Anolis sagrei: one gene and its partners. The protein of the gene in region 2 interacts with the protein of the main gene of each other region in a pairwise test. Links are inferred from orthologs where the notes say so. Each region holds a gene or a part of one and is shown on either strand. Other genes may lie near its edges.

Region 1 (7,610 bases), on a different chromosome or scaffold from region 2:
GTATTATTGCATTTTTATGGTGTGCCTTGAAATCATTTCCAACTTATGGCAACCCTATAAGGGGAGTTCCTTATCAAAATTTAGCCAAATGGGTTTTCCCGTTGCCTTATCTTAGTCCTGCAGTGTAAAACTAATGTTTGACCCACCACTTTTAACTGCCATGGCTCAATACTATAGCCATATGGGAGCTGTAGTTTTAATAATGATAATAATAATAATAATAATTTTATTTCTTACCGCCCTCTCTACAAAATACACTACAAAATACACACACTAAATGTACCTCCATAAAAGCTACACACCAAAACTTATCTGTACAAAATACATATTAAAATACACAAAGCAGATCAAATAGGACACTTAAAAGTCATGCTTAAAGACTGTCTGTGTAGGCCTGCCTGAAGAGATAGGTCTACATGGTTTTTAAATTCTGACAGCCGATCTAGCTGTCAGAGCTCTAGCTGCAGGTTGTCCATAGTCTTTGGTGCGGCTGATGAAAAAGTTCTCTGAGTGGTGGTTGCCAGTCGGGTCCTGGCAGGCTGAAGCAGATGCCCCCCAGAAGACTAAAGTGTGTGGGGTGGGTTGCATGTGAGAAGGCAATCCTTTAATAACCTGGACCAAAACCATGTAGGGCTTTAAAGGTCAAAACCAAACACTTTGCACTTCGCCTTGGGGTGGCTGATAAAAGGTCCTCTGGGTGTTGGTTGCCAGTTGGGTTCTGGTTGGTTTTACAAGGTCTTTAGCCTTCTCTGGCACGGAGTGCCTTGCAAAATTCCAAATCCGGGGACTCCATGTGGTTGAGCCATGGTAGTTAGAGTGACACTTTAGTGGTGTCACACTACATTTAATCCTGTACTGTAGATCCACCCCCAAAACAGAGGTGTCAGTCATGAACCCATTGAATGAATATTTATTTATTTATTTATTTACAGTATTTATAGCCCGTCTTTCTCAGCCATATGGCAACTTAAGGCGGGTTACAGAATGGCACAATTCGCTGTCACATTCACATTAAGTAGAAACAACTGGTTCTTCTCTTGAAGTATAAAACAAAGTCTTTGTGTGAGTAAATGTCCTGTTTTTTATTACATATGAGTAGACTCCAGAAGTCACATGAATCGACTCCAACCTGCGACCGGTATTGACTCACAAGAGCCTTCGTCAGGCGGTTGGGTCTACAAACAACACATATCATGAATACACACATACAATTGAACAATTTGTTATATCAAGTTTGTAAGAATATATACAGACACTCCACTTACTCAAATTATCACAAAAAGCTCAGCTTTTGAGGTGAGAAATTCACCAACAGTCTTCTGGAGGGGTGGATCCTAAGGAGACATAGACAGTGGCTAATAGGGCTGGGCGGTTTCGTTTTGTAATTTCGTAATTCGTTAAAAATTCGTTTTTTTATAACGAAGCGATTTTGAACCATTCAGGAGCATCTAAAAAACGAAACGAATTTTTCAATTCGTTTCGTAATTGCTTCGTATTCGTTTCGTATTCGTTTCGAAATCTTTTCGAAATTGTTTCGTTATTATTTCCACATGTCTGGGGCAAGTTTTATAGCTGTTGTTTGTTTAATCAGTGGAAAAAAATTATAAATATCACACCAACAGTCAACAACAGAGGGAGAGGAAAGCTTCAAAAGTTCCCCCTGTCCCATATGGAGGTTTTTTAGCGTATTGCGCAGTCGCGTCCGCCATTAACGAATCGATTCGTATTCGTTTCAAAATCGTTTCGTAATTATTTCGTAATTTACGAAATTTCATAAATATAAAAAAAAAATTAAGGAAAATTTCGGAATTAATTTAAAAATCGAAACGCAAAAACCCCCTAAAAACGAATCGAGTTTAGAAACAAATTTTTCCGTGGTTGCCCAGCCCTAGTGGCTAAAGGTAATATTACATTGTAACGTGAATTATAAACTATACAGTGGAGCTGACACAACAGAGGAGTAGTGTGTTCCCTGGGCACCGCTCCTGTTAGTAACTTGGCTGCCAGTCTTTGGCCATTTGAAGCTTCCGAACAGTGTGTGTGTGTGTGTCTTGAGGAGTGTCAAAGCAAACTCGACCTGCTTAGACATACATTTTAACACAAGCCCTCATTTGAAAATATATATATCTATATAAATAAAAATGTAATGTTAGTTTGTGGGATTGACATAATGCAAAAACCACCGGATGAATTGACACCAAATTTGGACACAATACGCCTATCATTCCAATTAGTGACCATCACTCATAAAAATACTGAAAAACACAGCGGAAGGGACTTAAAAAGCCAAAAAAGCAAATAGACACTACAGTGAATATGCAAAAATGACTCCCCTGGCAAACAAAACAATAGCATATCCACACTCTATTTTGGACAACTGCTCCGAGCTTCCAGCATCTCCTAGACCAGGCCCTTTAGGAGAGGAGGATGATCCAAATGCACTGCTTTCAAGATGCAAGCTTTCTTCTCCTTGGATCTCTTTGAGAGTATCCCAATCCCTACATATTTCCAATTTCCTATGAAACTCCCGGCAATCCTCCAGATAGATAGATTAGATAACATAGATCAATCGATCAAGAGGACTGCTGGGAGTTGCAGTCCAAGAATAGGTAGAGAAGGAAGAAAGGGAGAAGGGAAGAGGAAGAGAAGGAAGGAAGGAGAGAGAAAAAGAAAAAAAGGGAAGGAAGGAGAGAAAGAGAAAGGAGAGAAAGAGGGAGGGAAGATTGTTCACAACAACGCGTGGCAAGTACAGCTAGTATATTTATATAAATAAAAATGTAATGTTCGTTTGTGGGATTAACATAATGCAAAAAACACTGGACAAAGTGCTGCGAAATTTAGCCACAAGACACCTACTCACCCAAGGAGTGACCATCACTTAAAAAATTGATTTTGTCAATTTATAGTTAACCTACAATCCAGGCCCATAGCCAGGATTTCGTTTGGGGGGGGGGGCTGATTTTTTTCAGGGGGGGTTGGGGGGGGCTGAGTTTCAGGGGGGGGGGGTGTGATTCTGAGTGAAAGAGGGTCTAGCCTAGCAAACCTTTTGTATCATTACCCCAATACTTCCATGCATATGGGATATATTGAGTATGGTGATCAGATCATGATATGAATAAACATAACAGTTTAAATAATGCAGCAGTAAGGCCTTTTCGTGAACCACCATGAGAATTTCAGGCTGAAGCCCCTCAAGCCCCCCCCCCCCCCCTTCTACATGCCTGCTACAATCAAAGAGCTTTCTAAACTTCACCAACGATAGCATTGAACTAAACGCGGCACACTCCCATGACCAACAGAAAACATTGGAAGGGTTTGGTGGCATGGACCTTGAGTTTCGGAGTTGCAGTTCACCTATATCCAGAGAGCACTGTGGACTCAAACAATGATGAATCTAGACCAAACTTGGCACGAATACTCAAGATGCCCAAATGTGAACACTGACGGAGTTTGGGGAAAATAACATTGACATTTGGGAGCTGTAGTTGCTGGGATTTATAGTTCACCCACAATCAAAGAGCATTCTGAACCCACAGATTTGGGGCAAACATTCCACACAGAACCCCCATGACCAACAGAAAATACTTAAGGCCATGCAGTCCAACTCCCTTCACCAGGGAAAGAAAACATAATCAAAGCCCTCCTGACAAAGAGCCATACAGCCATAGATATAGAGAGATAGATTGATAGATATGGTTCACACACACAGAGACTGTATAGATTTGAAAGGGACCCCTAAAGAAGGACAATTTGCATATTCCAGAGTAGGCAAACCAGACAATCTCCACATCAACACTGACAAAGAAACAGCAAGAAATATTGTTTACCCACAAGCAGAAAGAAAATACATATTTTAGAAACCAACACTTTCTCATTACTTTATTTTCCATATCAACAGACTGGGCCACAGCAACGCGTGGCAAGGGTTAAATGAGGGTTCTTGTTAAAATTAATTTCTAAGCAGGTGGAGGTTGATTGGACACCCCTCAAGGCGGCACCCTACTCCCTCCCTCTTCTAGGCAAAAACAACACACGGCACGCCCCGAAACCTCACGCCAAGCTGGAGAAGAGGGTACCGCCTCACTTCCGCAGTTCCCTATTGCGCATGCTCCAGGGCTAACCTCTGATTTGCGGAGCGTGCCGCCGCTTGAGCTTTCGGATTGGTTGGTTGGGCCCACTTAAGAGAAGGAGGCGGCAGTGTGGCTTTTTGAAATCCGTTCTCTCTGCTCCGCGGGCCCCACCTGGCTGGCCTGGCCCCGGCATGTCCTTCCCCAGGGCCCCGCTCCGCCGCTTCAACGAGGCTCCCGGTAAGCCAGCGGGGCTTCTGTTCCCTCGCCTTCAGAAGGGGAAACGCTGGGCAAGACGTTGCTGCCGGGTGCGTCTACGCTGCAAAATTAAGTCAGTTTAACATCACTTGAACGCTATGGAAAGGCACCAGCACTCTTTGGCAGAGAAGCGTGAAGGCCTTGTGCAACCATAACTCCCAGGGTTCCGTAGCATTGAGCCCATGGCCGTTCAAGTGGTGTCAAACTGCATTAATGCTACAGTGTAGCAGACCCACCTGCGGTCTCTGTAGGTTTGTGTCCCGCCCAAGCCATATAACACTGCCTGAAATAGTGGCCTCGCTTGAGGGGTGAGTCTTACCCTGCTTTCCTCCTAATACAGAAATAGATACAGATATTATTATTATTCTACATTTATACCCCGCCCATCTCACCTCAGTAGGGGACTCAGGGCGGCTTACAATCCATGGCATACAATGCCACATTACACATATAATAATAAACAAAACATATCAGTTTAAACAATTAACATATCAATTCAAGCATACAATAATAAACATGGTATAATAATTTATTTATTTATTTATTTATTTTATTTGCTTTATAATGTAAATATAAATACAATAAAAAGCTTAGAAGTAATTCAAATAGAAATACGATAAAAAAGCTTAAAAGTAAACATACAATAATTTAAATATAAATACCAAAAAAGCTTAAAAGTAAAAGTAATATGCCGGGTGTTTCAAAGCAAGTATATTTCACCCTCTTACAATTACACAACAAAGTTACAAACGGTTTAATGAATTATTATTTACTAACTCCACTGCTGTTGTTGGATGATTCAGCTGTATGCCATTTTGAGAATAGCTGACCTTGCCATCTTGCAAATGACAGGCTTGGGGCAGTCAGTGCGCTGGGAAAAGCATCAAGCCGTCATTATTTGAAACTCTGTGCCCAGCCCTTTGAAGGGGTAAGGTAATATGTTTGTGACACTATTTTCCCTTGCCACTGTAAATAATAGATTTTGGTCTTGAAAGTAAATCCCAGTGTTGTGTCCAACTCTGGGGGTTGGTGCTCATCTCCATTTCTAAGCCGAAAAGGCAGCATTGTCCCTCCAAGGTCAGCATGACTGCCTGGAGCACTGTTACCATTTTCCAAAATACCACCATGCCTAAAAAAGGCAATAGTGAGACCTATGTTGAAGAAGTCCCTAGAATCCATGGTTTTGAATAACTACTGGCTAATTTCTAATCTTAACAAACACAAATCTTCTACAAGTCGTAGTACATAAATCACAAAGGAAAATGTTTTTTTCCAGCTTATATAATACAATATTAAATGTATAACCAACTTATATGATGCAGCATTGAGCAATATACCATGAACAAAAAACTTGTTTATAATATAATAATAATAATAATAATAATAATACTATTTGTACCCCGCTACCATCTCCCCAAGGGACTCAGTGTGGCTTACATGAGGCAAAGCCCACAGCACATCAATAAACAAAGGCAATAACAAATAATCAATACAAAACAGTTAAAATAAAACTCAAAAACAAAAAATACACAATAAACAATAACAATAACATACAGCATTTAAAAACCTATGGCCGGGTCAAATGTAATAATTAAAATTTAAAATGCTGGGCATTAACAAGGTAGGGTAAACTAGGATAGGGTTTTCAAAGAAAGTTGAGGGCGCGCAGACAATCCTAAATCAATATTAAAGTGCATTTGAGGACATATTGCTTAGAGTTTTCCTTATTCTGGAAGGCACACTGGAACAACCATGTTTTCAGGCTCCTCCTAAACACAGCCAGCGCTGGGGCATGTCTAATGTCCTTAAAGAGTGAATTCCAGAGTCGAACGACCACCACCGAGAAGGCCCTCTCCCTCGTCCCTACCAATCATGCCTGCGAAGGAGGTGGGAGTGTGAGCAGGGCCTCTCCAGATGATCGAAGAGATCGTGTGGGTTCGTACACAGTGATTTTACATCAGTAACAAGAGTAGAGTCTTTCTTGCTGTAAAGCAGACTTCTCTTAAGGGCATAAGATCCCTTACTTTAGAGAAAGATACTCTTGAGTGGAGTTTCCAGTCCCTTGTAAGAGGATATCCATGTAGAAGATTTCCAGACCGGTTTCGACTAACGTCTTCCTCAGGTGGAGAAATGTGAAGAGTACAATGAAGTGGACATCAAGTTCTCAAAAATAATAATTCTTCCTCGGGTGGATAAGAATACAATGAAATGGTGGATCTAAAGATAATATACACAGGTGGCTAGAACATGTCCCAAAAGGGATAAATATTTCCAAATGTTGTTAACATGTAACGCGTATATACCATAATTTCTAATCTTCCCTTCCTGGGCAAAGTTCTAGAGTGAGTGACGGCTTCTCGGCTCCAGGAATTCTTGGGTGATACTGATTATCTTGATTCATCGCAGTCCGGTTTTAGGCCTGGCTATGGTACGGAGACGGCTTTGGCCGCCTTGGTGGATGACCTCCACAGAGAGCTAGCCAGGAGGAGTGTGCTCTTGATGATTCTCCTGGACATCTCAGTGGCTTTTGATACCATTTACCATGTTATCCTTCTAGGGCAACTCTCCGGAAAGGGTCTTGGGGGGCATTACTTTGCAGTGGCTCCGTACCTTCTTGGAGGATTGCATCCAGTTGGTGAAGCTGGGGGACACCTGCTCAGACAACTGGCCATTGACTTGTGGGGTCCCACAAGGTTATATTCTATCTCCCATGCTTTTAAATATCTACATGAAACCACTGGGTGAGGTCATCCAGAGGTTTGGTGTTCAATGCCATCTGTACGCAGAGGACACTCAATTCTACTACTCCTTTCCACCAAATTCCAAGGAAGGCACCTGGATCCTGAAACAGTGCCTGGCAGCTGTGATGGACTGGAAGAGGGTTAACAAGTTGAAGCTTAATCCAGAGAAGACTAAGGTCCTCCTGTCATGAGGCCCATCACGGTATTGGGTGGTTACCTGTTCTTGAAGGGGGTAACACTCCCTGAGGACACAGGTCGGCAGTTTGTACATTTAAATAAAATGTTCAGATCTAATTTGCCAAATAGTCACTGTTGTATGTTTTTATGTTGAATGTTTTTATATTGTGTAAATGCTATTTTAAATTGTAAGTCGCTCGGAGAAAGCGACTAATTAAGAAGTGAAGTTTGGGAATCCTCCTGGATTCAGTGCTGATGGTTGATTTTCAGGTGTCGGCAGTGGCCGGGAGGTCCTTTGCACAGTTAAAGCTTGTGCGCCAGCTGCAACCGTACCATGAGAAGTTGGACTTAGCCACAGTGGTCCATG
Region 2 (7,421 bases):
GGAGTTCTTTCTCCCATGCTGGACATTCCACAGATATATAAACTCCACTTCCATAGTTTCCAACAGACCTCTCAACCTCTGAGGATGCCTGCCATAGATGTGGGTGAAACGTCAGAAGGGAATGCTTCTTGAACATGGCCATACAGCCTGGAAAACTCACAGCAACCTATTCTACAACTCTGCTGCCTGCATTGCTTGTTGCTGCATTGTCTCTATTGAACAACCACACCGTCTTCCCGAAGATCCTGAGAGTTAACTCGTAACAAAAACATCAGTGCACACTATGACTCTTTAACACACCAAGTGTGGTAAGTACTTGAAGCCAAGTGCAAACCAATTTGCATCTCAGAGCTCATTAAAGCACTCTCCAAAGTGCTCTTTCTTTTCTTTGTTGGAAGCCAGTGGATTGCAGAACAAAAAGAGAGAATTGTGTTCTGCCCTCTACACACAGTTCCAAGGTCTTATTTCTGAGTATTCTCCAGCCAACCCACTCACTTTCATGAGAAATAAGCAAGCAAGAGAGGTCAAAATGCCTGGCAAAGAATCAGAAGGCCTTCCTGTTTGCTCTCTTCTTGACCTGCTGAACCCTGAGGTTATGAGCTGGAAGCATTTGAGCCACATCTTTTATTCTGACAGCCGCAGAGTCATTTGCTCAAAAGATCACACCCAACCATTCAGAAATTATGAGAAAGAATGGCTTTAGTCATGTCTACAGCCCAATTACTTCTGAGTAGAGTTAGGCTGGTGATGTGGATTTTTTGTGTGTGTGTCAGGAGACTTGAGAAACTGCAAGTCACTTTTGGTGTGAGAGAATTGACCGTCTGCAAGGATGTTGCGAAGGGGACGCCCAGATATTTTGATGATTTACCCTTTTTATGGAAGGCTTCTCTCAAGTCCTCACATGGGGAGCTGGAGCTGAGAGAGGGAGCTCATCCACACTCTCCCCAGATTCGAACCTACAACCTGTCGGTCTTCAGTCCTGCCAGCATAAGGGTTTAAAACATTGGGCCACCGGGGGCTCCTATGGGGAATTTTTCCAATGTAAATGCTTCACTCTTGAAGAGGTATTACTGGATGGATGGATGGATGGATGGATGGATGGATAGATGGATAGATAGATAGATAGATAGATAGATAGATAAAACTGGGATACTCTTTGAAGCATTATCTTGTACTGTCTTCTCCCAATCACCACCAACAATCTCCATGCCAGCCTTGATATCTGGCTAAAAGCTGTTTCCACCTGCAAAACTCTAGGATTTGTTTTCACATTTGACAGCACTGAGGAGTCTGGTTTTACAAAAACACCAACAATTAAGTAAAATATTTTTAAATGAAAAGTTAAGTCAAGTTTCTCAGTAGAAACAGGGCTAAGAAAAACATGCGAATTCCAACTAATTCTAGCCTTAAATGTACCAAGAATCCTTCAGTATTAAAACTGAGTCCTCTCTTTTAAAGCCCTCTCTTTCAAATCCTTTTAATGTTGGGGTGTTTTCACATTGTTATGCAGTCTTGTGATTTCAATATTTGCCTGCAGTAAATTGGTTTTAGAACAATTCAGAGATGAGATATATATTGTCCTTTTCTCCTTCTCCTTCATATTTCCTCCCCATGAGCAACGGAATGATCAAGATAAAAGGCAGGAGTTTGTAACGTTTTCCCTAGTGTTAAAAGAAAGACAGTATATGTATATCCTCCCTCCTAATAAGGAACTCAAGACACCCATCTATTAATTAGACCCCGAGGAATTTAACTTAAGTGAAGTGACAATATTATGTGCTATCAAACCATATTCTAGGTTTTAGCCATGTATAGAAATAGTCCTTGTCTGGCAAGGAGCCATCATGGTTTAAGAGTTGGACTATGACACTTGAGACTATTGGGTTGTTGTAGGTTTTTCGGGCTGTATGGCCATGTTCTCGAAGCATTCCCTCCTAACGTTTCACCTGCATCTGTGGCAAGCATCCCTCAGACATTGAGGATGCCTCACAACCTCTGAGGATGCTTGCCACAGATGCTTTTAGCCTTAGGGGACATTATGACAGCTACTAAGTACCATACATATAATTAATACAAAAATACATTTTTACCCAAAAAATATTTGCAGAAAGAGGGAAATGGAAAACATGCACAGAAAGTGCTACTGTTATAAGTGAATGATACAACATCAGTTGCTTTATTCCACATCTACATAGTATTAGATCTTCATGTTAAAGGTCTAGGCGAATTTGCTCCTTCTTCCATTACTGAACATTCCTTGAAATAAGCTATACATTTCCTCAAAGTTGGACTTCTTGTATTGCTAATGCTGGTTGATAAGAGACAGATGATGAAGTTTGATCTCTAGCTATGATATATACCTGGCCTCTGTAACAAGATGCTTCAGGTTTTCCAGTAGTAATAAGATCTCAGGCTTCTCTGATGCCAGCAACCCTAGTAAGTTTTCTTTGATGTATCTGACAGGTTGTGCCTAGCAGTTATATCATATCATGACTTATCATGGCAGCACCATTTACAGTGCAGATGTACCCACAATCCCTTTAAGTCAGTGGTTCCCAACCTGTGGTCCATGGACCACCAGTGGTCCACAAGGAGTAAAATATGGTCCACGGCCTCACCATTACTACTATGGACAATAACACAGCTCAACCATTTTGTATCTTCATTTTTAGGCCTATTGCTGGGGTTATTTGGGGTGCCGATTCAGAAAAGTGCAAATCTAGATTATTAAATATGGTTTTCCGTGGGTGAGCATATGGCGGCTACTGGATGGCATATGTTCTGTATCAGAAACTAGAGCTGATGTGGTCTATTCAATGCATTTTTCTGAATCAGCACCCCAAATAACTAAACCAAATTTAAAGTTGACCAAAAACTGACTTGTAACGCTTTTGGTACTAATGTCGGAGAGTGGTTTCTGGTCAAAGTGCTCCTTGTTCAAGTGGTCCCTGGTCAAAAAAAGGTTGGGAACCAGGAGTATAAGTCAAAGTGTGCAACAGCTGAAGAAAGAATGTAATTGTTTTAATTACGAGTGCCATTCTTTGTTACAATGGCTATAAAGACTGCCTAGCATTTTTGTTGTTTATTCAAAAACAACAAAAGTCGATTCCGACTCCTCATGACCACATGGACCAGCCCACGCCAGAGCTCCCTGTCAGCTGTCACCACCCCCAGCTCCTTCAAGGTCAGTCCAGTCACTTCAAGGATACCATCCATCCATCTTGCCCTTGGTCGGCCCCTCTTCCTTTTTCCTTCCATATTCCCCAGCATCATTGTCTTCTTTAAGCTTTCCTGTCTTCTCATGATGTGGCCAAAGTACTTCATCTTGGCCTCTACTATCCTTCCCTCCAATGAGCAGTCAGGCTTTATTTCTTGAAGCTTCTTGCGGTCCGAGGCACTCTCTGAACTTTCCTCCAACACCACAGTTCAAAAGCCCTTTGGGGGAAGAAGGGTGGGGTAGAAATGCATGAAATAAATAAATAAAGCATCTATCTTCCTTCACTCAGCCTTCCCTATGGTCCAGCTCTCACATCTGTAGGTTACTATGGGGAATACCTTTGCTTTAACTATGTGGATCTTCATTGCCAGTGTGATGTCTCTACTCTTCACTATTTTATAGATTGGTCATCACTCTCCTCCGAAGAAGTAAGCGTCTCCTGATTTCCTGGCTGCAGTCTGCATCTGCAGTAATCTTTGCACCTAGAAATACAAAGTCTGTCACTGCCTTCATGTTTTCTCCTTCTATTTGCCAGTTATCAATCAGTTTGGCTGCCAAAATCTTGATTTTCTTTTGTTTAACTGCAACCCAGCTTTTGCACTTTCTTCTTTCACCTTGATTAGAAGGCTCCTCAGCTCCTCCTTGCTTTCGGCTATCAAAGTGGTATCATCTGCATATCTAAGGTTGTTAATGTTTCTTCCAGCAATTTTAACTCCAGCTTTGCATTCATCAAGCCCTGCACATCGCATGATGTGGCTTGCATTATGAAACATTTCAAAAACAGCTCTTTTCTTTCATGTTGCCAAGATATAGTCTGGGTTTTTTGTTTGTTTTTTTGTTTTGTTTTGTTTTGTTTTTTTGTTGTTTTTTGGTTGGTTTTTTTTAGCCTCTTCCAAGGGCTTCAACTGACACTTGTCCTCCAAGGGGGGGAAAGATAGTAAGGCCTCAATATGTTAAGGAAGGAGAGTAGGAAATAGTCTTCTTGCCCTTTAAAAATATGGCTGCCTTGTAGAGCGTTCTCCCTTGCCCTTAACAAAGAAGGCCGCTGAGAGGGGGGGCGTCGGCGAGTGGGAAGGCCGGGCAATGGCGAGCCGCGTTACTACGGGTTGCCGTGGCAACAGCCAACAGCGTGAGGGGATGGTTCCTGGTGGGCGGGGCGTGTGTGTGGGAGAGAAGCCGGGCAGGGCTGAGGCAGCTGGAGGGAGGGAAAAAGGCGGTGGCCGATGGGGGCAGAGCCGAGGGGTGTGAGGCTGGTGTCCGCCGCGGAGACGCTCCGAGCCCAGGTGAGAGGCGCGGGCGGGGTCGCAGGAGAGGCCTTGTAGTGTCGGCGAGAGGCCTAGGCCTGGGATGCCGGGCTTGCCAGGGCGGAGAGGAGACGGTGGGCGAGTGGGTGGACCACGGAGGGGAATGGCAGCAGCAGGCGCCAGTCTGGTGGGCCTGGCGAGGGTCACGCCACAGCAATGGCCCCTCGCTCACCTCACGCTTGATGGCAATGCCTCTGCAGGGAGAAAGGCAGGGATTTTCAGGTGGGTGGAGTGTCCACAGGCGCAGCAGCTGAGGAGGATGCTCTGCCTCGTCGCCACCATCGTGGAGCGAGGCAAATCAATTCAGTCTGCTATCCTTTGCCTGACAGTGCTTGTCCATCAGATAGAGAGCATCACTTTGGCAAGAAAGGTTGGGCCAGTCTTTTTTTTCTTTGTGCTATTCCTTCTGCATCTAGGCTATATCATTGTCTTGTGGGGTTCCACAGGGTTCAGTATTGTCTTCCATATTGTTTAACATCTACATGAAGCCGCTGGGGAAGATCATCCGGACTTTTGGGGTGCAATGTCACCTGTACACAGATGATGTCCAACTCTGTCACTCCTTCCCACCTGCTACTAAGGAGGCTGTTCAAGTCCTGAACCAATGCTTGGCTGCTGTGAAGATCTGGATGAAGGCAAACAAATTGAAACTGAATCCAGACAAGACAGAGGTCCTCCTGCTTAGTCATAAGGATGAACAGGGTATAGGGTTACAGCCTGTGTTGGATGGGGTTACACTCCCCCGAAGATGCAGGTTCGCAGCTTGGGTGTGATCCTGGACTCATCGCTGAGCCTGGAACCCCAGGTTTCAGTGGCGACCAGGGGAGCATTTGCTCAATTAAAACTTGTGCACCAGCTGCGCCCGTACCTTGGGAAGCCTGACTTGGCCACAGTAGTTCACGTTCTGGTTACATCCCGTAAAGACTACAGCAACACACTCTTTGTGGAGACTGTCCGGAAGCTTCAAAGGGTCCAACTAACAGCAGCCAGATTGCTAACAGGAGCAGCGCTCAGGGAGCGTACAACTCCTCTGTTACGCCAGCTCCACTGGCTGCCAGTTTGCTACCGGGCACAATTCAAAGTGCGGGCTTTAGCCTATAAAGCCCTAAACTGTTCTAGGCCAACTTACCTGTCTGAACATATCTCCCCTTGTGAACCATCTAGGACCTTAAGATCGTCTGAGGAGGCACTGCCTTCGTTACCGCCTTCGTCACAAATATGTTTGGCAGAGACGAGAGACAGGGCCTTCTCGGTGGTGGCCCCTCAGCTGAGGAACGCCCTCCCTATAGATATTAGATTGGCCACCTTCCTTTTAACATTCCGGAAAACAGTCAAGACGTGGCTTTTTGAACAAGCGTTTGCAAATGCAGAGAAACTGACACAGAAAAATGGAACAACTAAACCAGGGGTCCTCAAACTTTTTAAACAGAAGGCCAGGTCACAGTCCCTCAAACTGTTGGAGGGCCGGATTATAATTTGAAATTAAAATTGGAAAAAAAAACATGAGTGAATTCCTATGCACACTGCACATATCTTATTTGTAGTGCAAAAAACACTTAAAAATAATACTATAATTAAGATGAAAAACAATTTTAACAAATATAAGCTTATTAGTATTTCAGTGGGAAGTGTGGGCCTGCTTTTGGCTGATGAGATAGGATTGTTGTTGTTGTTGTGTTCTTTCAAGTCGTTTCAGACTTAGATTGACCCTGAGCGAGGGCCGGGTGAATAACCTTGGAGGGCCACATCCAGCCCTCGGGCCTTAGTTTGAGGACCCCTGGACTAGACAATTAGTCTGGACAATGTTTTTAACAAGGAGACACTATGAATTTATATTTTATTGATTTGTTTAGTTTTTATTATATGTTATGTTTTTAATTGTATTATAACATTGTAAGCATTGGATTTTGCGCTGTTAACTGCCTTGAGTCGCCTGTGTGCTGAGAAAGGCTGTATACAAATACAGTAAAATAAATACATATTTGGAGTGAAACAAATGGAAGGAAACCCTATTTTGATAGCTACACTAGACTCTCAGTTCACCAGCACCCATGGGGATTGGTAGGTGCTGGATCAATGTTATTTCTAGAGCAGGCCGGGCCAACTTGGGCCCTCCAGGTGTTTTGGACTTCAACTCCCACAAGTTGAAGTCCAGCCTGGAGGGCCCAAGTTGGCCCATGCCTGCCATAGCCTTGGTTTCCAACTTGGAGGAGGGGGGCAATTTGAGAATGAGTTATTCACAGTGAGTATTTTGCATTTCTTAAAGTTCTAGTGGCCTCATATACAGTATATAAATATATATTGTGACATACACATTTTAAAAATTAAAGTCAGAATGTACACGTATTTTGCATTTCTTATGGTTCTAGGGGCCTCATATATACAGAGGCGGCCCTAGGAAATTTTCTTCAGTAAGCAAATAGTAATTTGGTGCGCCCCCCCCCCCCCCCAACCAATCACTGATATATAGTTTCTGTTTGTCTTGGGAGTTCTGTGTGCCATATTTGGCTCAATTCCATCATTGGTGGAGTTCAGAATGCTCTTTGATTGTGGTGAACTATACATCCCAGTAACTACAACTCGCATATGTCAAGGTCTATTTTCCCCCAAGAGCGCCTCAAGAGCGCCCCAAGAGCGCCCCTGGGCAAAATCAACTATACTGCAAATGCTTACTTTGCGTAATGGGTTGAGCCGCCCCTGCATATACAGTATATAAACATGGCTTCAAACTACAAGAAAGGAGATTCTATCTGAACATTAGGAAGAACTTCCTGACTGTGAGAGCCGTTCAGCAGTGGAACTCTCTGCCCCGGAGTGTGGTGGAGGCTCCTTCTTTGGAAGCTTTCAAATAGAGGCTGGATGGCCATCTGTTAGGGGTGCTTTGAATGCAATTTTCCTGC
Region 3 (7,593 bases), on a different chromosome or scaffold from region 2:
ATTCAATGCTAATCAAGGTGGCCAATTGCAACATTCACACTTGCCTCAAACAGACAAGAGTTCTTTCTCCCATCCTGGAGATTCCAGATATATAACCCCCACTTGCCTAGTTTCCAACAGACCTCACAACCTCTGAGGATGCCTGCCACAGATGTAGGCAAAACTTCAGGAAAGAATGCTTCTGGAACATGGCCATACAGCCCAGAAAACTCACAGCAACCCAGTGATTCCGGCCATGAAAGCCTTCGACAACATAATAAAATTGTATCCTGTAAATCAGTGCTCCCCAGCCTTCTTTTTTTGACCAGGGACCGCTTGAGCAGCGACCACTTGACCAGGGACCACTCTCCAACATTAGTACCAAAAGGGTTACGAATCAGTTTTTCTTCAACTTTAGATTTGGTTTGGTTATTGGGGGTGCTGATTCAGAAAATTGCACTGGATAGACCACATCAGCTCTAGTTTTTGATGCAGAACATATGTCATCCAGTACTCACCATCTGCTCACCCACAGAAAACCGTATTTAATAATCTAGAATGGATGTGGTCTATTCAATGCAATTTTCTGAATCAACACCCCAATAACTCCAGGAACTGACCTAAAAACGAAAACAAGAAGAAAAAAATTGTTTTTGGTTGGGCTGTGTTATTATCCATGGATTTTGTTAATGCTCAGCACTATATGAGGGTTTTGCAAGACCAGTCGCTCTTGTTGCAACGGTGTAGTAACAGTAAAGCCGCGGACCATATTTTAATTCTTGTGGACCACTGGTGGTCCACGGACCACAGGTGAAGAACCACTGCTCTAAATTAAATCACAAAATCAAAGTTTTGCTTTCTGGATTATTTTCTGAATATTTACAAGGCATGGACAGTTGAATCTGTGGATACAAAATCCATGGATATAGAGGGCTGACTATATATACACTCATAAATGCAACAGACTGCAAGTAAAATGTGCAAGCAACACAGGGCTTTATTTCCGCACATTGCCTAGACTGCTGTCCGCCCGGTGCCTTTTCACACTCCACCAACCAGCAGGTTCCTAACGCTTGCAGACAGCTCTGTTTTTAGAATGCCTTTTTCACCTCCCAATCAATGGCCTGCAATCCTTCCCATGCCTGCCACCCTCTCTAGCATTTATAACCTCCCTTTTGAGAAGCTCTTTCACATTCTGCCCCTCAATATAAACATATGGATTGTTACAAAAGTTGAAAATCAGGGGAAGCAAGAAACGTCAAGGGAGTCTGCAATTTGCAAAACCTAGAGGTCACTCATTCATATGTCTATGTGACGGCAGTTAACAAAACAATGCATAGGTTTAAGTTTGCTGTAAGTCAGACTTGACAGCAATTAACAAAAAGATGATAAAGATGAAGATTTTGGGAAACCAAGGGTATATCTGCACTCTACATTTAATGAAGTTTGACACCACTTCAACTACAATGGCTCAATACTATCAAAACCTGGGAATTGTAGTTTACAAGGCCTTTCACTGCTGAAAAGTGCTTTGTATCAAACTCCAATTCCCAGTATTCTATAGCACTGAGACATGGAAGTTCAAGTGGTGTCACACTGCGTGCGTTCTACAGTGTGCAGATGCAGCACAAGGAAGATCAAGAAGTTTTGCAAGACTTGAGCCAGGTGACTTGGGGTGCATCGACACTGGAGCATCAATCCAGTTTGACACCACTTGAACTGCCAGGGCTCTGTGCAATAGAGTCACAGGAGTCAGCGCTTTGCAAAGTCTTTGGCCTTCTCTGCCAAAGAGTGCTGTTGCCTTGCCAAATTACAACTCGCAGGATCTCATACTGTTGAGCAATAAAAGTGGTGTCAAGCTGCATTCATTCTATAGCATGTAGATGCACCTTGGAAGATCTCTCACACTGTCAGCAAACACAGAGGTGCATCTACACCAGGCATAGACAAACTTCGGCCCTCCAGGTGTTTGGACTTCAACACCCACAATTCCTAACAGCCTACCACAGTGGTTCTCAACTTGTGGCTACTTCACCTGGCTACTTCATCACACTAGAGAATGAATCCATTTTAAATCCGGTTTCTGCCTGCTGCAGAATTTTGGGGTTTGTAGTTTAGTGAGGCTGTTAAAGGCTCCTCCCTAAACTACAAACCCCAGAATTCTACAGGAGGCAGAAAATAGATTTAAAGTGGATTCATTCTCTAGTGTGATGAAGTAGCTGGAAGGCCGAAGTTTGCCCAAGTCTGATCTTCACTGTAGAATGAATGCTGTTTGACACCACTTTGATTGCTCAACAGCATAGAATCCTGCGAGTTGTAGTTGGGTGAGACACCGACACATTTTGGTAGAGAAGGAGAGGGATCTTGTGGAACTACATCTCCCGTGATTCCATAGAAGTGATCCATGGCAGTTCAATAGGGTGTAGTTTGACACCCTATTGAACTGCCATGGCTCACTTCTATGGAATCATGGGAGTGCTGGTGTCTCACTTAACTACAACTCCCAGGATTCCACACTGTTGAGCAATCACAGTAGTGTCGAACTGCATTAATTCTACAGTGTAGATCAGACATGGGCAGACTTTGGCCCTCCAGGTAGGCTGTTAGGAATTGTGGGAGTTGAAGTCCAAAACACCTGGAGGGCCAAAGTCTGCCTGTGCCTGGTGTAGATGCACCTCTTTGTTTACCGCTTCCTAAATATTCAGCTTTCATAACCATGCATTATGTTTTGTGTGAAGTGCTGCTTTTGTCAAACTGCATGGATTCTACAATGCAGGGTCCTCCTTGGGACTGAGGGGGGAATTACAAGGTAGTGAAATTTCCCCGCCTAAGGGGCCCTCCACTCAGCCCTATATCCCAGAATATCAAAGCAGAAATCCCACATTATCTGAGTGTGCACGCAGGGCCCTTCCACACAGTCCTATATCCCAGAATATCAAGGCTGGAAATCCCACATTATCTGAATGTGGACTCAGATAACCCAGTTTAAAGCAGATAATGTGGAATTTTTTGCTTTGATATTCTGGGATATAGGGCTGTGTGGAAGGGCCCAAAGAGTGCAGGTGCCTCACCAAAGTGCACCTCCCAGGCTTCCATAGCATGAAGCCATTGACAGCTAAAGTGCATTCATTCTACAGTGTAGACACACCAGCACACTCCTGACCCAGACTGTGTACGTGAGAACGCACCTGACTGTCTGGTATCTCACCCCCATGCAATGCCCCCTCTTCTACAGAAGTGTCCACCTCCTCCTCCTTTGCCCCCCTCCCAACCACCCACTGACTCGCATGCCAATGCCTCCCATTTCCCACGTGCTTCCTCCTCCCCTTTTCCCCTTTTTGCCCCAGAATAGCCAAGATCAAGTCCAGACCTGCTCCTGGGAAGCCGGGTGGGGGAGGGGACAGGGCACCCAGCCTCCCACCTGCTGCGGGAGGAAAGGAGGGGCGCCCCAACCTCTGCTGCCCAAAGCTCCGCTGCCTCTCTGCTTGCCTGCTTCCCTCCCTCCTACGCGCGCGCACACTCACGCACGCGCGCGCCCCGCGGCACCGCCGATCCCAGCAGCGCCCGCCTTCCAATCCCCCCTCCGCGCCCCGAGACTCCGCGCCCCCATTGGCCGCAGCGTTGCTAGGAGACCTTTCAACAAAGGGCCTGGCAGACGCGCCAGCTGCTTGGCCGGCTCTCCCCTCCTTCTTCACCTGTTGCAGCCATACTCTTCCCCCCCCCCCTCCTCTCCTGCAGCATTAATACCGTTTGACACCCCATTAACTGCCAGGGCTCAATGGGATAAGACCGTGGGAGTTGCAGTTTGGCAGAGAGGGCTAGTCCAGACCTTGTGAAATTACATCTCCCATGGTTCCATAGCACTGAACGATAGCAGTTACAGCAGGCATGGGCAAACTTTGGCCCTCCAGGTGTTTTGGAGTTCAGCTCCCACCATTCCTAACAGCCTGTTAGGAGCATGCAAAGAATCAGTGAGAGTGTGTATGTGCATCAAATAAAATAAGATGCATGAATGTGTGTGGCCAGGCAATGCCCTGGGAGATGGCTGAGCCTGGGACTTTTGGTTACTGTTGCATTTTTGTTCAGGCTTGAAGAGAAGCAGAAAGTTTGGAGTGTACTTCATGAGCTGCTAAAGGAGCTTATCCAAATGGACATAGAAATACTATTTTAAACCTCCCATAAAAGGAAATTATGCGAGTTAGTACAACTGATCACATTGTACATATGTCGTTCTGAACTAAGAAGAGTAAACTACTTGTTCTTTATTGGTCACCTGCGTGGCATATTTTCTAACTCTGGCAAGGCAATGGGTGGGTTGATCAAACGTGAACTACACGTGATTTATTTTACATTAGTAAAGGTAAAGGTAAAGGCTTTCCCCTGACATTAAGTCCAGTCGTGTCCGACTCTGGGGTTTGTTGTTCATCTCCATTTCTAAGCCAAAGAGCTGGCGTTGTCCGTAGCCACCTCCAAGGTCATGTGGCCAGCATGACTGCATAGAGCGCCCTTACCTTCCGCCGGAGCGGTACCTATTGATCTACTCACATTTGCATGTTTTCAAACGGCTATTGTGGCAGAAGCTGGGGCTGACAGTGGGAGCTCACGCCGCTCCCCAGATTCGAACCTGCGACCTTTCAGTCAACAAGTTCAGCAGCTCAGTGCTTTAAACCACTGCGCCAACGGGACTCCTTTATATTATTTTATTTTACATTACAACACAGAAAATACCTGGGGGGTCAAATTTTACCCATGCCTGAGTTACAGAGATTTCAAACTGCATTGATTGTACAATGTGGATGCACCCAGGGGAGGAGGATATACCAAATCTGGTGGTACCTTAAAACATTTCATATTATTTTTCAGTTTTGCTCCTCCCTGTAGTTAGGACTTCAGCTCTCAGAGTTTCCTACTATCAGCCAGACTGACTGGGGCTTCTGGGGGTTGAAGTCCAGAATATCTTGGAGTAAAAGTTAGAAAGCACTGTATAAAACAGGCATGGGCAAACTTCGGCCTCCCGGGTATTTTGGACTTCAACTCCCTCAATTCCTAACAGCCAGTAAGAAAAATGGAATCTTGGAGGAAAATTCTGAGACTGCCTTGGACCGCTGGATGATCAAACCAGACCATACTCAAGGAAATAATGCCTGGCTGCTCACTGGAAAGAAGGATATTACAGGCAAAGATGAAATACTTTGGCCACATAATGAGAAGACAGGAAAGTTTGGAGAAGATGTCTGCATATCTGCATGGGATGCCTTTTTACCGTCCCACCAAGGCGGTACCTATTGATCTATTCACATTGCATGCTTTTGTACTGCTAGGTTGGCAGAAGCTAGGGCTGCAGTCGGGAGCTCACCCCAACTTAAGGCTTTGTTAAGGCTTTGCTGCCAACCTTCCAGTCAGCAGATTTCCTGCAGCTAGCAGTTTAACTCACTGCGCTGCTGCGGCATGTGGGTGCCTAGCTATCTTGTAAAAGAAGGACAGTGGGGTCTTGTAGAACAATTATTTTATAGTCCACCTTATATCTAGCAGTTAGCATCAGCACATGACCTGTCTGTCCAGTTAGAAATCAAAACTTCTTTCTCTTGGTCAAAAGACATGGACTTTGCTCAGTTTCCTGTTGCTTCAATAAGCACAAACAGCACCCTGTGTTGACCAGCCTAAGGAACTGGCCAATCTCAAAGCAAAGGGCTCTTTGGGGTTGGGAATCTCTGCTGTGTTTTCTTAACTAGGCAGGCCTAGCAAGATGTAAGTTCAGAGGTGTCAAGTTAAAGCTCTCACTCCGGATCCTAGGCAGAATTCAGAGCAACCCACAACTTTGTTTAACATGGGTCAAGATTCTCAGTTAACCAGGTAGATACCAGATAAATGTAGTTTTTGGTCTCTCGAGTTACTATTCAAAACAAGCCAAACTCATAAAGGTAAAGGTAAATGTTTCCCCTTGGCAGTAAATCTAGTTGTGTCTGACTCTAAGGCGTGGTGCTCATCTCCATTTCTAAGCTGAAGAGCTGACATTGTCTATAGACACCTTCAAGGTCATGTGGCCGGCATGACCACTTGGAATGCTGTTACCTTCCCGCAGAAGCGGTACCCATTGATGTACCCACATTTGCATGTTTTCAAACTGCTAGGTTGGCAGAAGCTGGGGCTAACAGGTGGAGTTCACCCCGCTCTGCAGATTTGAACCACCAACCTTTCAGTCAGCAAGTTCAGCAGCTCAGTAATTTAACCCGCTGCACCACCAGGAGCTCATACTATACATTTTGTATTGACTTGATATTAATATTGAAAGTAAAACATAATGTAACACGGTTTTACTGTATTATATATGTATTTTAATTTTGAAAAAATTTTTCAATTTTTTTGCCAATTGCTTGAGAGAATCTACTGTATTTGTCTTACTAATCTTTATCAGCAAACATTCTAAATCTTAGGTTTCTGGCTGTCTGACTCCATTTTACAAGCAATCAATAATAATAAAAAATAAGTCAAACAATAAATTATATCTTCTTTATAATAAGGCAGCTCTCCCCTCTTATCCTTACCAAAAGCTTTTAAAGAAACCACTGGAGTTTTTGCCAATGGTGGGATTCTCTCTAAAACAGAGAAATAGACATTCTTGCTGCAGTGCAAGGGAAATCGTGCGAGATGCACTATTTTAAGCTCTGCACTTAATAGTCTTACACACACACATGCACACCCACACATCTCTCGCCTTGATTTGGACAAGTACATTAATTACCTCAATTGCTAGATACAGAAATATATCAAAGCAAAGAATAAAACTGTTTGCCAACTCTCAGATAAATAATTACAGGCTCAATAGATACATAAACATTCTCTGAACATACTCAGTTTTGGATTTCAAAGCCACTTATGCTGTAACACTGTTATGACTAGAGAAACAAAATCAAATGTATTGATTCTGCAAAATATATAAACAGACCTGTAAGTGAATTGCTTCATTTTAAGAAGCCATGGTCAAAAGGCCCCATCTAAATTGCAGTTTCAAACTGAGATTGCAAGATCTGAGCTGGGCAGTTGCTGACTGGGGATACTGATTCTGCAAAATATATAAACAGGCCTGCAAGTGAATTGCTTCATTTTAAGAAGCCATGGTCAACAGGCCCCATCTAAAATGCCGTTTCAAACTGCATCATACAGCAGTGTAGATGGAGCCTGAGGTTGCAAGATCTGAGCAGGGCTGTTGCTCACTGGGGATATTGGAGGTCTCCCATTCATAGGGTTACCATAAGTCATAGGCCATTTGAAGGCAAATCGCCACCACCCTAAATCTGAACTCAGGTGTCCAGCCCCAGGTGTGTTTTTGTACAATAGTTGAACATAACTCTCGCTCTGAAATAAGATTTTAGAGGTTTCTACCCTGATTTTAGAGATTAAGCATCCTTTATCTGGAATGCTCAAATATTCTGAAATCCAAAGCTTTCCACATGAGTGGATGAGATAGTGAAACCTTAGCTTTCTGATGGTTCAATGTACACAACTTTATTCAAGCCCAACATCATGTTGAGTATAAATTACCTTCAGGCTATGTCTATAAGATGTATGTGAAACATAAATGAATTGCGTGTTTAGACCTGGCCTCATCTTCAA
Region 4 (7,816 bases), on a different chromosome or scaffold from region 2:
CAAAATGTCCCTGTTCCAACTTATATACAAATCCAACTTATATACAATCCATGGACATGATTATGTTCGTAACTTGGGGACGACCTGCCTATTTTCCATTGCACATGCCCCGTTTTAATGTCCGATCCCAGCGTTCCTGCAATCGTATCCAATGCCTGTCCTTTGGAACACAAAGAGAAATCTCCTTCTCTTGTCTGTACGGAGCGCCGCTTGCTCTCATCGTAGCAGGAAACCCATGCCTGACAAAGCGCAGGTGCGCATGGGCCTCATAGGGCTCATGGGGAGGGGGGGCACAGTCCCTGCGCACTGATCCACGATTGTTGTGCCGAAAGTGCCACGGTTACGTTGAAAGGAAGATGCCAATAAACGAGCGGTCAACCACCTTGCACACAACAGGCCTCAATCCACACCAATGGAGCCCCAAATACACCAAGGGGGTGCTTGCCATGGCCTGGTTGGCCCCAGTTCACCCTCTGGGTTGGCCCCAGTTCATCCCAGTCTGCAATATGACACCTGGTGGCTTGATGGACCCATGGAGGGCTTGCTGTCCTCATCAACCTTGTTTTCAGTGAGAAGCCCCACCTCCAACCTCAGGCCTGGACTTTGGAAGACTCTCCCCTGAAAAGCACCCCTTCCTTCCTTCCTTCCTTCCTTCCTTCCTTCCTTCCTTCCTTCCTTCCTTCCTCACATTCCTCCTTCTTTCTCTCCTTCCTTCCTTCCTCACATTCCTCCTTCTTTCTCTCCTTCCTTCCTCCTTCTTTTTCTTCCTTCCTTCCTTCCTTCCTTCCTTCCTCACATTCCTCCTTCTTTCTCTCCTTCCTTCCTTCCTCACATTCCTCCTTCTTTCTCTCCTTTCTTCCTTCCTCACATTCCTCCTTCTTTCTCTCATTCCTTCCTTCCTTCCTTCCTCACATTCCTCCTTCTTTCTCTCCTTCCTTCCTTCCTCACATTCCTCCTTATTTCTTTCTTTCCTTCCTTCCTCACATTCCTCCTTCTTTCTCTCCTTCTTCCCTCACATTCCTCCTTCTTTCTCTCCTTCCTTCCTTCCTCACATTCCTCCTTCTTTCTCTCCTTCCTTCCTTCCTCCTTCTTTCTCTTCCTTCCTTCCTTCCTTCCTTCCTTCCTCACATTCCTCCTTCTTTCTCTCCTTCCTTCCTTCCTCACATTCCTCCTTCTTTCTCTCCTTTCTTCCTTCCTCACATTCCTCCTTATTTCTTTCTTTCCTTCCTTCCTTCCTCACATTCCTCCTTCTTTCTCTCCTTCCTCCCTCACATTCCTCCTTCTTTCTCTCCTTCCTTCCTTCCTCACATTCCTCCTTCTTTCTCTCCTTCCTTCCTTCCTCCTTCTTTCTCTTCCTTCCTTCCTTCCTTCCTCACATTCCTCCTTCTTTCTCTCCTTCCTTCCTTCCTTCCTTCCTTCCTTCCTCACATTCCTCCTTCTTTCTCTCCTTTCTTCCTTCCTCACATTCCTCCTTCTTTCTCTCATTCCTTCCTTCCTTCCTTCCTCACATTCCTCCTTCTTTCTCTCCTTCCTTCCTTCCTCACATTCCTCCTTATTTCTTTCTTTCCTTCCTTCCTTCCTTCCTCACATTCCTCCTTCTTTCTCTCCTTCCTCCCTCACATTCCTCCTTCTTTCTCTCCTTCCTTCCTTCCTTTTTTCTCCCATTCTTCCTTCCTTTCTCCCCTCCTCCTTCCTTCCTTCTTTCCTCTTTATCACCTTCCATTACTCCTCTCTCCCTCCTTTTCTTCCTTCCTCCGCTTCCTCCTTCCCTTCATCCTCTCTCATTCTTTCCTTCCTCTTCATCCCTTCTTTTTTCTCACATGCTTCCTCTCTCCCTTCTTTTCTTCCTTCCTTCCTCCCCTTCCTTACTTCCTTTTTATCTCCTTCCTCTCTTCTTTTTCTTCTCTTCCTTCATTCCTCCCTCCACTTCCTCCTTTTTTCTTCCTTTCTTCATTTCTCCTCTTCCTCCCTTCCTTCTTTTCTTCCTTTCTATGCCTTCCTCCTCCCTCTCTGCTTTTCTTCCTATCTTCACCCTCCTCTGTCCCTCATCTTTCCTTCCTCCCTCCCTTTTCCCTCTTCCTCCCTCCCTCCCTTTTCCTCTTCCTCCCATCTTTCCTTCCTATTTCCTGTTCCTTCCTTTCTCCTCTTCCTTCTTGTTTCTCTCCTTCCTTCATTCCTTCCTCCTCTTCTGCCTCCCTCCCTCCTTTTTTCCTTCCTTCCTCTTTGTCCCCCTTCCTTTTCTCTCTCTCACATCCTTCCTTCATCCCTTCCTTTCTTCTTCCTTTCTATCTCTTCCTCCTCCCTCCCTCCTTTTAATTCCTTTCTCCCCTTCCTTCCTCCGCTTTTCCTTCCTTCTCTTATCCTCCTCCTCCCATCTTTCCTCCCTCCCTCCCTCCCTCCCTTTTTTCTTCCTTTTTCCTCTTCCTTCCTCCTTCTTTTCCCTTCCCTTCTCCCTCCTTCTTTCTCTCCTCCCTCCCTTCCTTCCTATCTCCCTTCTTTTCTTCCCTTCCTCTTTCTTTCTCTCCTCCCTCTCTCCCTTCTTTCCTTCCTATTTCCTCTTCCTTTCTTCTTTTTTCCTTCCTTTCTCCTTGTTCTTCCTTTCTCCTCTTCCTTCTTGTTTCTCTCCTTCCTTCCTTCCTTCCTTCCTTCCTCCTCTTCTGCCTCCCTCCCTCCTTTTTTCCTTCTCTTATCCTCTTCCTCCCACCTTTCCTCCCTCCCTTTTGTCTTCCTTTATCCTCTTCCTTTCTTTTTCCTCTTCCTTCCTCCTCTTTTTTCCTTCCCTTCTCCTTGTCCTTCCTCTCTCCCCTTCCTCCTTCTTTCTCTCCTCCCTCCCTCCCTTGCCCATCCCTTCCCAAAGCCCTTCTTCTCCACAATCCCTCCCCACAATCCTTTTGCAAACCCCCAAATGGGACTTCCTCCTCCTTTTCCTCCCTTCCTGCAGTAGCAGCATCCTTTCCTTTGGAGGGGCGGGCAAGCGGGGTGGGGTGGGGGGCACACAATGGGCATCCATCCTTCCCTCTTTCCCATCCTTCCCTCCTTCCTTCCCCTTGCACTCACCACTTGCCGGGCGATCTCGGTGGCCGCCATGGCCCCTTCCTCCCCTTCCTCTTCCTCTTCCCCTCCTTCCTCTTCCTCCTCGCCCAGCCAGGCTCCGGAGGCGAGGAAAGCAGGGCCGGGCCACTGCGGCAACGGGGGAAAGAGGGAAAGAAGGAAGGAAGGAAGGAAAAAGAGAGAGAGAGAAGGAAGGAGGAGAAAGAGGAGAGCGCGCCTTGCAGAGAACCCAATTGAGAGAGAGAGAGAGAGAGAGAGAGAGAGAGAATGAGAGAGGAAACCAGGCGTGGAAGGAGGGAGGGAGGGGACCCGGCACACAAGGCAGGGAAAGAGGGAAGGAGAGAAAGAAAGAGAGAGAGAGAGAGAAGCAGCCCCTCCCCTCCCCTCCCTCGCTTCCTCTGGGCTCCTCCCGTTGCCTTTGCGAAGGCGGGCGCTTCCAAGGCTCCCTCCCCTCTCCAAGCTTCAAAGGCAGCAGAGAAAGAGAGAAAGGAAGGCAGCCAGAGAGATGCTGCTAGCTTCTATTGCATTGCATTATATGTAGAAATATATATTGCATATATTATATTGCATTGGAGTGCATTGAATTATAGGTTCTGTTGCACTGCATTATATGTAGAAATATATATTGCATATATTATATTGCATTGGAGTGCATTGAATTATAGGTTCTGTTGCACTGCATTATATGTAGAAATATATATTGCATATATTATATTGCATTGGAGTGCATTGAATGACATTATTTTATATATTACATATTATATTACATTCCAGTGCATTGCATTATATTTATACTTTATATGATATTATATTATATATTATATCATATGACATTCCATTCCATTATATGTATATTATATATATATGACATTCCATTCCATTATATATATAACATTACATTATATTTATTATATATTTATTATATATTATATATTTGAATATATATATATATATATATATATATATATTTGGGACCCATAAGTATGTATATGTATGTGTGTGTGTGTTTGTGTGTGTGTGTGTATAAGTGTAACTTTGTCCAAACATAATATAATCCCATATATGTGTGTGTGTGTGTGTAATATTTGGATGAAGTAACATTTGAATATATATATATATATATATATATATATATATATATATATATCTGGGCCCCATAAATATATATATATATATAGCTGTAACTTCATCCAAACATAATATAATCCCATATATATATATATATATATATTTGGATGATGTTACATTTATTAAGGTGTAACTTCATCCAAACATAATATAATATAATCACACACACGCACACGCACATATATAATATTTGGATGAAGTTACATTTGAATATATATATATATATATATATATATGGGATTATATTATATTATGTTTGGACGAAGTTACACTTAAAAATATATATACTTTTCGGCCCAGATATATATATTTTTTTGTTGGGTCAGGAGCGACATGGGTAACTGCAAGTCACTTCTGTTGTGAGAGAATTGGCCGTCTGCATGGACGTTGTCCAGGGGACGCCTGGATGTTTTGATGTTTTTACCATCCTTGTGGGAGGCTTCTCTCATGTCCCCGCACGAGGAGCTGGAGCTGATAGAGGGAGCTCATCTGTGCTCTCCCCGGATTTGAACCTGGTGGAGTTCAGAATGCTCTTTGATTGTAGGTGAACTATACATCCCAGTAACTACAACTCACATATGTCAAGGTCTATTTTCCCCCAGAGCGCCTCAAGAGTGCCCCTGAGCACAATCGACTATGCTGCAAATGCTTACTTTGTGTAATAGGTTGCTGAGGCTTCCCCCGGACTGCTAGGGCTGTTGTGAGCCGAGGGGGCGCTCCTCAAGTGGCGGTCGAGGGGCATTTACAGAGGTGCCTCTGCGCCCCTGGCAAAAAAAAGTGTACTGCGACCGCTTACTTTGCGTAATGGATGAGCCGCCCCTGGGGATGCGAGACAGGGCCTTTTCTGTGGTAGCCTCACGACTCTGGAACTAAAGATATCAGACAGGCCCCTACCTTGGCAGTCTTTAGGAAGAACTTGAAGACCTGGCTGTTCTGATGTGCCTTTCAAGAATAGGAAAACTCCAGTAACACGTCCCAGAAGCACTTTAGTAGAGTTTAAGATTGCCCGCACACTGCACTTACCCTAAAATCCAATATACCACCTGTCACATCAGCACTTTTAATCCTGTACCCATTACATTGGCCCGGCCCTGTTTTCTTGTGTTTTGGTGTGTTGTTTTATTGTTTTGTTGTTTGATATTGCTTTAATGGCTTTGATTTGTTTTAAGTTGTGTATTTTGTTATGCTATGTTTTTATTGAGGCCTTGGCCTGTGTAAGCCGCACCAAGTCCTTCAGGAGATGCTAGCGGGGTACAAATAAAGATAATAATAATCATATATGATAAAGGGATGTGATTTCTGGAACGTAGGCTATGGTCGGATGTGAGAGCTGGACCTGAGGGAAGGCTGAGCAAAGGAAGATCGATGCTTTTGAGCTGTGGTGTTGGAGGAATGATTGACAACTGGAAAATAGAGGGAGAAACCGTGGAGGCCGTGACAGACTTTGTATTTCTAGGTGCAAAGATGACTGCAAATGCAGACTGTAGCCAGGAAATCAGAAGACGCTTCCTTCTTGGGAGGAGAGCAATGTCCAGTCTCGATAAAATAGTCAAGAGTAGAGACATCAGACTGGCAACCAAGATCCATTGCCTAGTCAAAGCCATGGTCTTCCCTGTAGTAAGTCACCTACGGATGTGGGAGCTGGACCTTAGGGAAGGCTGAGCTAAGGAAGAGAGATGCTTTTGAACTGTGGTGTTGGAGGAAAGTGCTGAGAGTGCCTTGGACTGCGAGAAGATCCAACCAGTCCATCCTTCAGGAAAGAAAGCCCGACTGCTCATTGGAGGGAAGGAGACGAGAGACAAAGTGGAAGTCCTTTGGCCACATCGTGAGCAGACAGCCAAGCCTGGAGAAGGGAATGATGCTGGGGAAAGTGGAAGGCAAAAGGAAGAGGGGCCGACCAAGGGTAAGATGGATGGATGGCATCCTTGAAGTGACTGGACTGACCTTAGAATCATAGAATCATAGAATCAAAGAGTTGGAAGGGACCTCATGGGCCATCCATTCCAACCCCATTCTGCCAAGAAGCAGGAATATTGCATTCAAATCACCCCTGACAGATGGCCATCCAGCCTCTGCTTAAAAGCCTCCAAAGAAGGAGCCTCCACCACACTCCGGGGCAGAGAGTTCCACTGCTGAACGGCTCTCACAGTCAGGAAGTTCTTCCTCGTGTTCCGGTGGAATCTCCTCTCTTGTAGTTTGAAGCCATTGTTCCCTTGCGTCCTAGTCTCCAGGGCAGCAGAAAACAAGCTTGCTCCCTCCTCCTCCCTGTGGCTTCCTCTCACATATTTATACATGGCTATCATGTCTCCTCTCAGCCTTCTCTTCTTCAGGCTAAACATGCCCAGCTCCTTAAGCCGCTCCTCATAGGGCTTGTTCTCCAGACCTTTTATCATTTTAGTCGCTCTCCTCTGGACACATTCCAGCTTGTCAATATCTCTCTTGAATTGTGGTGCCCAGAACTGGACACAGTATTCCAGATGTGGTCTAACCAAAACAGAATAGAGGGGTAGCATTACTTCCCTAGATCCTTGAAGGAGCTGGGGGTGGTAACGGCCGACAGGGAGCTCTAGCGTGGGCTGGTCCATGAGGTCACGAAGAGTCGGAGACGACTGAACGAATGAACAAAACAACAACAACAACAATAACAGGCTATGGTCATGCGCTTTCGCGGAGGGCTGCCTTTGCAAGCATAAGCCAGAGAAAATGGCTGCGAAACGACAAAGCCACGCGACCCTGAAAGTGCAAGAAGTACAATGTGTACCAACTCTGTTGAAAAACTTCTGCAAAGTATCACTTTATGATAGCAGTTTGTAAGAAGTTGGCAGGACCGCAGAGGCTCTGCACGCCATGTGGCTCCAATGCTGACCACTTGTGCCAGCATCCCTTTGCAAACTTAAGAGAGAGAAAGTGGCATTATTAGGTTCTTGTGGGTTTTTTCGGGCTATAGAGCCATGTTCTAGAGGCATTTCTCCTGACGTTTTGCCTGCATCTATGGCAAGCATCCTCAGAGGTTGTGAGGTCTGTTGGAAGTAGGAAAAATGGGTTTATATATCTGTGGAATGGCTGGGGTGGGGCAAAGAGCTCTTCCCTGCTGCAGTTAGGCGTGAATGTTTAGCTGATCACCTTCATTAGCATTTGAAGGCCTGCCTGAGCCTGGGAAAATCTGTTACTGGGAGGTGTTAATCTGTGCCTGGTTTTTTTCCTCTCTGTTGTTTTGCTGTTATAATTTTAGAGTTTTTTTAATACTGGTAGCCAGATTTTGTTCATTTTCATGGTCTCTTCCTTTCTGTTGAGATTGTCCACCTGCTTCTTGTGGATTTCAATGGCTTCTCTGTGTAGTCTGACATGGTGGTTGTTGGTGTGGTCCAGCATTTCTGTGTTCTCAAATAACATGCTGTGTCCAGGCTGGTTCATCAGGTGCTCTGCTATGGCTGACTTCTCTGGTTGAAGGAGTCTGCAGTGCCTTTCATGTTCCTTGATGCGTGTCTGGGCAATGCTGCGTTTGGTGGTCCCTATGTAGACTTGTCCACAGCTGCATGGTATACGGTAGCAGGGAAGAGCTCCTTGCCCCACCCCAGCCATTCCACAGATATATAAATCCATTTTTCCTACTTCCAACAGACCTCACAACCTCTGA

Evidence for each region.
Region 1: the proteins of MORN4 (region 2) and HMMR interact in binary tests that used the Homo sapiens proteins (3 or more experiments, as listed by UniProt). The two-hybrid records come from large-scale screens. The link is inferred for Anolis sagrei from reciprocal best matches to the Homo sapiens genes MORN4 and HMMR.
Region 3: the proteins of MORN4 (region 2) and SSX2IP interact in binary tests that used the Homo sapiens proteins (3 or more experiments, as listed by UniProt). The two-hybrid records come from large-scale screens. The link is inferred for Anolis sagrei from reciprocal best matches to the Homo sapiens genes MORN4 and SSX2IP.
Region 4: the proteins of MORN4 (region 2) and SEPTIN6 interact in binary tests that used the Homo sapiens proteins (3 or more experiments, as listed by UniProt). The two-hybrid records come from large-scale screens. The link is inferred for Anolis sagrei from reciprocal best matches to the Homo sapiens genes MORN4 and SEPTIN6.

What each region holds. Positions count from the first base shown.
Region 1 is NC_090022.1:109,445,260-109,452,869, reverse strand, and holds the start of HMMR (hyaluronan mediated motility receptor), read left to right. Parts: upstream 1-4,169; 5' UTR 4,170-4,261; coding exon 4,262-4,307; intron 4,308-6,518; exon of another isoform or gene 6,519-6,533; coding exon of another isoform or gene 6,534-6,561; intron 6,562-7,610. UniProt on the Homo sapiens protein: Receptor for hyaluronic acid (HA). Involved in cell motility. When hyaluronan binds to HMMR, the phosphorylation of a number of proteins, including PTK2/FAK1 occurs.
Region 2 is NC_090023.1:217,916,080-217,923,500, reverse strand, and holds the start of MORN4 (MORN repeat-containing protein 4), read left to right. Parts: upstream 1-4,368; 5' UTR 4,369-4,500; intron 4,501-7,421. UniProt on the Homo sapiens protein: Plays a role in promoting axonal degeneration following neuronal injury by toxic insult or trauma.
Region 3 is NC_090024.1:154,979,536-154,987,128, reverse strand, and holds the start of SSX2IP (afadin- and alpha-actinin-binding protein), read right to left. Parts: upstream 3,515-7,593; 5' UTR 3,350-3,514; intron 1-3,349. UniProt on the Homo sapiens protein: Belongs to an adhesion system, which plays a role in the organization of homotypic, interneuronal and heterotypic cell-cell adherens junctions (AJs).
Region 4 is NC_090030.1:3,163,559-3,171,374, forward strand, and holds the start of SEPTIN6 (septin-6), read right to left. Parts: upstream 3,430-7,816; 5' UTR 3,088-3,429; coding exon 3,058-3,087; intron 1-3,057. UniProt on the Homo sapiens protein: Filament-forming cytoskeletal GTPase. Required for normal organization of the actin cytoskeleton. Involved in cytokinesis. May play a role in HCV RNA replication.